Linked DNA regions of Canis lupus familiaris. The protein of the gene in region 2 interacts with the protein of the main gene of each other region in a pairwise test. Links are inferred from orthologs where the notes say so. Each region holds a gene or a part of one and is shown on either strand. Other genes may lie near its edges.

Region 1 (3,712 bases), on a different chromosome or scaffold from region 2:
GGCTATTTTGTTAGGAACCAACAAAAGACAAAGAACCATGTGAATGGTACTCACTTGGATAAATATAACTTTAAAGTGGGGAGAAAGATCTGCTCCAGACTTCTACAGGAGTCAAACCGGACAGGGTTTAGCTCACTAGGGACTCAAGAGAAATCAATGCACTTTTCTTACCTTGAGGACAGAATCAGAACCCAGAAGGGAAAGTACACCTGACACGGCAATAATCAGGGGAGAAGTACTGCAAATATCAGAGGAATGACAAGGTGGAAGCCATCTATTTTTGCCCTTTGGGCTTGTCAGCATGGTGAAAACTCCCTTTAGTCCTTCCCAAGTACCTGACAGACCTGGATAGGAGGCAGCCCAACAGTTTCACACCTCATCTATTCCACTCAGCTGCCCTGGAAGGCAAGCATTATTCCTCCTCACAGGAAAGAAGATTGACTCTTAAAAGCAATGTACCTGTAACAAACGGAGGGTTTATTCATCCAGTTAAAACTGGAAAATTCTTAAAGTTGACTCTTAAAGTTTGTTGAACCAGTATTATATACCTATACTATATTTACACTCCTTGAAAAACTGTTTTTGCTACTAAAACTTCAGATAATAAAAAGAAAAAAGTTACATAGTATTCAACTACAGAGAAACGTGACCCAATTAACACCCTGGAGCATCTGATTTCTGATTTTTTGAGGGGGGGTCATATTATACATATGCTTTTAAATGAGACAATAATAAATGTATAGATTGCTTTTTAATTGCTTTATTAACTTTACACTTTTCCATGCAATTGGGTGACTCTACTGTTGACAGAAACTTAGACTGAGTGCCAAGGCAATCCCCATTTGGAATCTGGTAATACAGAACCCACCTGACACATGGAAATTACATGCGGTTCACAGCAAATGGATCAGTAAAGGTTATCAGGAAAAGGCAAGGAAAAAAAAAAACAATGTGAGTCACAGTATTAATCTCATGGAAAATGGCAGGAGTCAAGGCATAAGGCAAAATTCATCATGATGATCATGGTGATTAGAGAGCTCCCCCATCAGGATACGCAGGCAATTCCTCAACTGCAGCTCCCTAAGTTTTCTCCTGATTTCCCTCATCTCCTCCATGAACATTTCCATATCATCCCCATCTCCACCCATCCCATCATTGACCTGCCTATTGGGGATGGCCCATCGGAAATTAGGAGCAAGTCGACGAGCCTGTCCCCGTCTATTATTTCCTGCAGGTTGGTGGCCTTCTCCCCCTCCCAAAGGGCGGTCTTCCTCTCCATTCTGCATGGGTTGCTCCATTTCTTCGTTTTCCTGGTGGATATTTGCCATGAGATTTTTTTTCCTGGTTGGTTTTCTTTGAACACAAATAAGACAAAGGCAAGGAGAGAGACTGAAAGCTTGGTGTACTGAGCAGCAGGCTCCAGAGATCTGGTACCTAACGTTTAAAAAAAAAAAAATTCCCACCTTAGGAGCTTCAGGCGTCCTCTAGGGGGCCTCCGAATCGAGCCCCTCCCTCCCGCTCTCTCCTTTACCCTCCCTCCCCCAAAGCCCACCATTTTTCCTTTCCCAGGATTCTTTCCCCAAGCTCCGCAGGCACCAAAATGGAGGTGGGGGACAGGGGATGACGTACATGGGAGGAGTCACAAACTCGGCTCTGCACCCGACCCCCACTCTGTCCCCCGCACCGACCTGGGCCTATCCTTGCTGTCTCCTCCTTCTCCCGATTCTCGCCGTGTGGGCGTCGCTGCGACAGTTGACACCTAGGCTCGCAGTCCTGCAAAGGGCCAGCGTGGAGGGAGGGGGGGTGTTGCGAAGCGTTTGGCGCCGACCTGCCACCACCTGGTTCCTTCCGGGTCCCGGGCCCCCCTGGCCGCCCCCTTAAACCCCATCTCCGGCTCTCAACCCTAGCGTCCCCCCACCCCGCCCGGAAGGTTCACTATTTTCCTGCAGGTACTCGGGGGTGATTTCCAGTTGCTCTTAGTTGCTCTGCTGCCCACCCAGCCGCCCCAGCACCCCCACCCCAGGGGGCCACTACGGATGTTCCCAAGAATGCCGGGGGTGGAGAAAGCTGCTGCGCTGATCCAATGAGCCAGCTTCGAAAGTAGGCGGACCGCTGCCGCCCTGGCCTCGCGCACCGGCCCCGGAGCCCTTACCTGCTCCGCTTTCCTCGGGCCTGACGCCAGCCCGCGGGGCGCAGGACACCGGGGAGCAGGTACCCAGACGGGAGTGACGACTGCACCGAAGGCTGCGTCGCTCTGCAGCTCCACGTCACGTGAGCGCCTCACGTCACCATGGAGCTCGCCCCCCAAATCTAGCTGCTTGTGCGGCGCGCCTACCCGCCCCCACGCCTCGCCTCACGCACAGGCGTAGGCAACCCCCTTAGCCGGTTTCTGCACTGAGCCCCAGCGCGCACCGCCGTGTCACTCAGCTTGGTCCTCTACAATTTGAGGCCCGAAAAACGCCTCACCTCCCAGCGGAGGGAGTGTAAACTTCTCAGGAAGGTAACTTCTCAGGTTACCCGGGAGGGTCTGCAATACCCTTCATCCCTCCCACTCCCGCCCCAGGCCTTGAGTTTGAGTTGTTTCGCTTTCTCTTCCTTTCTCGCTGGCCGCACCCCCTCTTTCCCTCATCCACCCTCAGGTGCGCCACCACCGTTGCCCATTGCGTCCCCTGAATTCAGATCCTTCCAGGAAATTTAGAATGAAGGCTGGGGTGGGAAGGGAGCAGGAGTCCTATTAGAGAGGCAAGGAGACAGAGTGAATTCTTCCAAAGAATTTCTCTTTCATTTCCTTTTTTAAAAAAAACCAGCATGCCTCAAAAAATTAAAAATTGCGAGATTTCACTTTTGAAAGAAATGCTTCATCTTGCGGGATGAAAAAGCCTCATTTTTAAAAATTATGCTCGTATCACACAAAATATCTTCTCTGAGTTCCACATGACATTAATATCGCTTTTGAAACACATATCTTGTTTCAAATTTCTATTTTGAAAAAAAAGAGGCATCTTTATGAACATAGTTGGTATTTTCAAAATGATCTGTAAAGTAAATCTTTAGGGAGAAGTCCAGTTGTCAGATATTGGCCTTTTAATGTAAATTTGCGATGTTTTTGATACCATAGTCTTTGAAGAAAAGGAGCCTTTTTACACCCTGCTTTCCTTTACAAACTTTCAAAAACCTCCCCTAACAAATATCTTCGTAGAATGATCACAAGTATACCATATGCAGACGTTAGTTCCAAAGCCATCTGCCTTTTGATGTAAATGTTTCAAAAAATAATAGAAATAAACAGGGTGTATATGAAGCAACTAAACTTGAGACTGAAATTCACCTGGAGTGTAAATGTTCCTGTCTCCACTTTAAAGTAACTAAACAGATTTTATCATAGTTAGAAAACAGATGTCTTTAGGAAAGCGGCATTCATAATAAAAAAAAATTTAGTAAGCGTTGGTTGTGATAAAGGAACCAGAAGAGTTATATGCACTGAAGCAAGACAGGCCAGACAAATGCTTACTGCCTCTGGTTTGGGTTCCAAACTCCTGTGTAATCTCCTACCCTGCTAAATTAGCTGGGACATTGAATAAATGAAGAATATATGCCTAGTGCATACATAGTTTGAGCTTTTTATGCTTTGAAGATATTTTGAGGTATAGCTTGTTAAAAAACAAAATTCAGCCAAGTAAATTTGAAGATTTAATTGAATTTATTAAATGAT
Region 2 (3,677 bases):
GGTGGGCAGCGGGTTCGTGCCCGGCCTAGCCTTAGTACTGTACACCGACACCGTGCCCGACCCAGCCTCTGCACTGGACGTCCCAACAACTACCCATCCTCCTCCAGCTCCATGTCCGACTCCCATAGCAGCTTCACAGCTGGCTGGCTGGGCTCCCACAGCCAGGACAGTGACCTGGGAGCCCGTGGCATGGGCTCACTGCCACCCATGAGGGACAAACTTTTGCTGGAGAAGAACCTCAAACGGCTGCTGAAGCTGGAGAACAGAGGGGTGAGATCTAGGGGCATGGCCCAGGGTGGGCAGGATGGACCCCAGCCCAGGGCCAGGCTTAGGCCTGGCTTGGCTGCTCTTGGATGCACCTGAAAGTCCCCCTTTCTCCGCAGAAAGGCATAGGTCGGTCCTGCTTCCAGACAGACTCCCTGCTGTGGGACTCACTGGGCAGCCAGGCCAGCAGCCAGCGGACCCAGGAGCCACCTCTGTCCTGGTTCTCAGGCCTGCTGGGCTCAAGCACTGGCACAGCCCAAACATCAGAGCTAGGGCCTGTAGAACGGGAACTGACTTTCCTCAAGCGAGAGCATTGTAAGGAGATCAAGTCCTTGTTGAACCAGCCAGCATCCTTTGACCTGCCTGGCTACTGTTCATTCCGTGAGCCCCATCGGACCCTGGACTTCCTGGCTGAGCACCACCTCTTCCCTGCCTTGCAGAGTGTGGTCCGCCAGGCCGTGGACAAGCTCAGTGGAGCCCGACGTCACGATGGCTGCCCTCTCTTCCCTTCAGAATGGGAGCCTGCAACAGAACCCAATTCTGACTCAGTGCAAGACTCCAAGCCAGAACCCAATTCTGACTCAGTGCAAGACTCCAAGCCAGCCACACCCACTGATGGGGAGGAGACTTACAATGTGCTTCCCATCAGAGTCTCCAGCTCCAAGATGATTCGAAGAAAGAGCACCAAGGGCAGAGGACAGGCCAAATCCAAGGAAGGTGGATCCCCTCTGTCTAGTGCCCAGGTGGCCAACAGATTAAGGGTTGAGGTGACACCCACAGAAGAACCCAAGGTTCCCTCACCCCATCCCAGTCAGGAAGCTCCTGGCAAGGACCCTAAACTACAGAGACCACCCATACCTTCTTCTGGGCCCCCAAACTCCAGCCAGAAGGCCAATCCCTGGCAGAGCCTATACCACCCTCTGCCTATCCCAGGGATCGTGGTGGAAGGGCCCTCCAGCCAGACCCAGTCCACAATCCAGGACATACCTCCTCTCACCTCCCCCTACCCTGGCTTCTCCCACCACCTTCCTTTGTTTTCACCACTTCCCTCCTCAGTGGTTAGAGGCATCTCCCCATCTGCTGTTTCACTGCGTCCAGAGATGACCTTAAGGGTGGAGCTAGGTGGGTTAGGGAAGGGTTTGCGTGGGAAGGGCTCCTTCAGCTACCACCCTTAGCAGCCACTGTCATGGCTATCTTGACCTGCACAGTGGAAACCACCTGGCCTAGTTACTGCCAGGTGTTGTCAAAGATTGAATAAAGCCTACGTTTCATTCTGAGTATTTTTTGTAATGTTTGCATGTGAATCTCAGAGGCCCTTCTATGTGGGCAGTGTCTTGTTCCTTGTGGACAGCAGCCTAAGTCAGAATGGGGCTCTGCATCCTAGGTCCAGCTCCCTCTGCTTCTACTACCTAGGACAGGACTCTTCAGCATGTCTGCTGAGAGGGAATTGCTCAGGAAGGGTATGGAGAAGACCTAGGTGGCTTCACCCTGGTAGTTCCCCAGCACAGTCCCTGCCTGACCCTTGTCTCACCTATGAAGACCCAGGCAGGCTTCCCTCCTCTGAACCTTGACCCAGGGGAGAACCTACCAGAGCCCAGGTTATCCAGGCTCCAGTTTGGCTAACATCCTGACTGACATCACCAGCCTTGCCACAGGCCTGACTGGTGTGGCTGGTGTGCGGCCCATGTGGTAAGTGTGAGGGTGTGGCTGACATGCAGGACCTGGGCTCAGCTGTTGATTGAGACAGCATAGCAGATGTGGCAAGGCCATACCCCTAGTGTGACAAGCGTGGCATTTGTGTGGGTGATGTGGAAGGTGCTCTGGGTATGAGGGGCATCCCAAGGCATCGGGAATGGCATGACGTGTCTCCCTTTCCCTCCCTGGCTGTTGCACAGAGCCCTAATTACAGGTTCGTGAAGAAGACACTACCCTCCATCTCATCCAAGTCCACCCTGTCCCACTTCCCCAACCCCGTGTACGAGGAGCTCGTCAGCTACTTAGTGGAGAAGGTTGTGTCCCTGGTCATCTACAAGTACAAGTTCGAGAAGAACCTCTCCAAGCAGCTGGGCTTCATCTCCTTCCCCGTCACCGAGACGCTCATGGACCTCTTCCTGGGCTTCAAGAAGGTGAAGGGCTCCCGCATCTGCCTGTCCTCAAAGATCAACTGGAACTGCCTGCTGCGCAAGCTGGAGGAGGCCGAGTGGGCCCGGCAGCTGTCGCGACAAGCCTCCCAGCATGACTCCGCCTCCCAGCGCAGCTCCCAACGCGGCCCCGCCCACCAGGGGGCGGGGCACAGCAGCACCGAGTCCCCCTCCACGGGGCCGGAGCCCGCCCCCCGCGCCGACCCGGCCGAGGCCGCCGAGCCCAGCCTCGACAGTGAGCTGCCGGACCTTCGGCTGCTCTGGGCTCAGGAGGATGCTGGAGCCGAGGAGCAGGGGCCCACGAGCGTGGGCGCTAATCAGAGCCAGGAATTAGTAGACGGGGACAGTCAGAGCAATGAGGAGGAAGATGAGGACCAGGGTGAGGACTTCCCAGACGAGGGCACGCCCCAGAGCTCTCCCCGAGCCTCAAGTGGAGGCGGACGTCAGCGACTCCACGAACACGAGTCACAGTGACCCTCCGTGAGGCCCCAGCTCCCCAGCACCCAGCGCTTGATTCCCTGCTCCTGCTCTTGCTCCAGTGGAGTGCTACCCCCCACCCCCACCCCCAGCCGGCTCCTGCCCCAAGCCGTCAGGGTGGGCTGAATGTCCACGAGGACCTCTGCTAGCCTGTCGGGGGAGCCAACAGGAGAAATAAAGCTTGTGTTGCTGGAGCAAGATGTTTTTGTCCAGAGTTCAGCTGCACTTCCACAGGCCTGAGCACCCGCCCTGGAGTGACACCTTGGCAGGCCTTCCTCAAAGCTGCCATGCCCTGACCCCCTGACCTCCCATGCTCTGCTTGAACACAAGTCGGCTTGTGGCTCTTCTCTGTTCCAGGGTGCTCCTTCCTGGCTTTTCAAGCCTCTTAGGACTCGTGGTCCCTTTTCCTAACAGCCCCTGAGCAACATCGTTCCTGCTGCCAGAGGACTCCTCCTCTGCCAGGGCAGCAACCTGCTCCCTTTGACATGCCACATCCTCACGTTCCTACGGGGAACCATGCATCCACCCTTTCCTGATGCCCCCAGAACTACCCGTCATTGTAATTTGTATTTCCCGGCTCCAATTCCTCAGTCTGGAGGGTCCAAGTAGGTCCCTAGGAGGCTGCCCCAGGCTGACCATGTGACTACCCTTTCAGCAGTGCCCCTGGGCCAGACAGCTCTCTGGAAGGCTCTGCAGACTTCGCTGGGGCCATGATTGGCAGGTCTCCTCTCCAAGTTTCTCCTGGGGCTTCTGGGCATCCTGTGCAGCCAGCTGAGCACCCTCCCTCTCTCCGCC

The links.
Region 1: the proteins of CCDC116 (region 2) and BEX3 interact in binary tests that used the Homo sapiens proteins (3 or more experiments, as listed by UniProt). The two-hybrid records come from large-scale screens. The link is inferred for Canis lupus familiaris from reciprocal best matches to the Homo sapiens genes CCDC116 and BEX3.

The regions. Positions count from the first base shown.
Region 1 is NC_049260.1:77,302,411-77,306,122, reverse strand, and holds BEX3 (protein BEX3), read right to left. Parts: upstream 2,506-3,712; 5' UTR 2,153-2,505; intron 1,774-2,152; 5' UTR 1,689-1,773; intron 1,435-1,688; 5' UTR 1,329-1,434; coding exon 990-1,328; 3' UTR 741-989; downstream 1-740. UniProt on the Homo sapiens protein: May be a signaling adapter molecule involved in NGFR/p75NTR-mediated apoptosis induced by NGF. Plays a role in zinc-triggered neuronal death.
Region 2 is NC_049247.1:31,078,477-31,082,153, forward strand, and holds the end of CCDC116 (coiled-coil domain-containing protein 116), read left to right. Parts: coding exon 1-270; intron 271-383; coding exon 384-977; coding exon of another isoform or gene 978-1,439; exon of another isoform or gene 1,440-1,544; intron 1,545-2,159; coding exon 2,160-2,879; 3' UTR 2,880-3,081; downstream 3,082-3,677.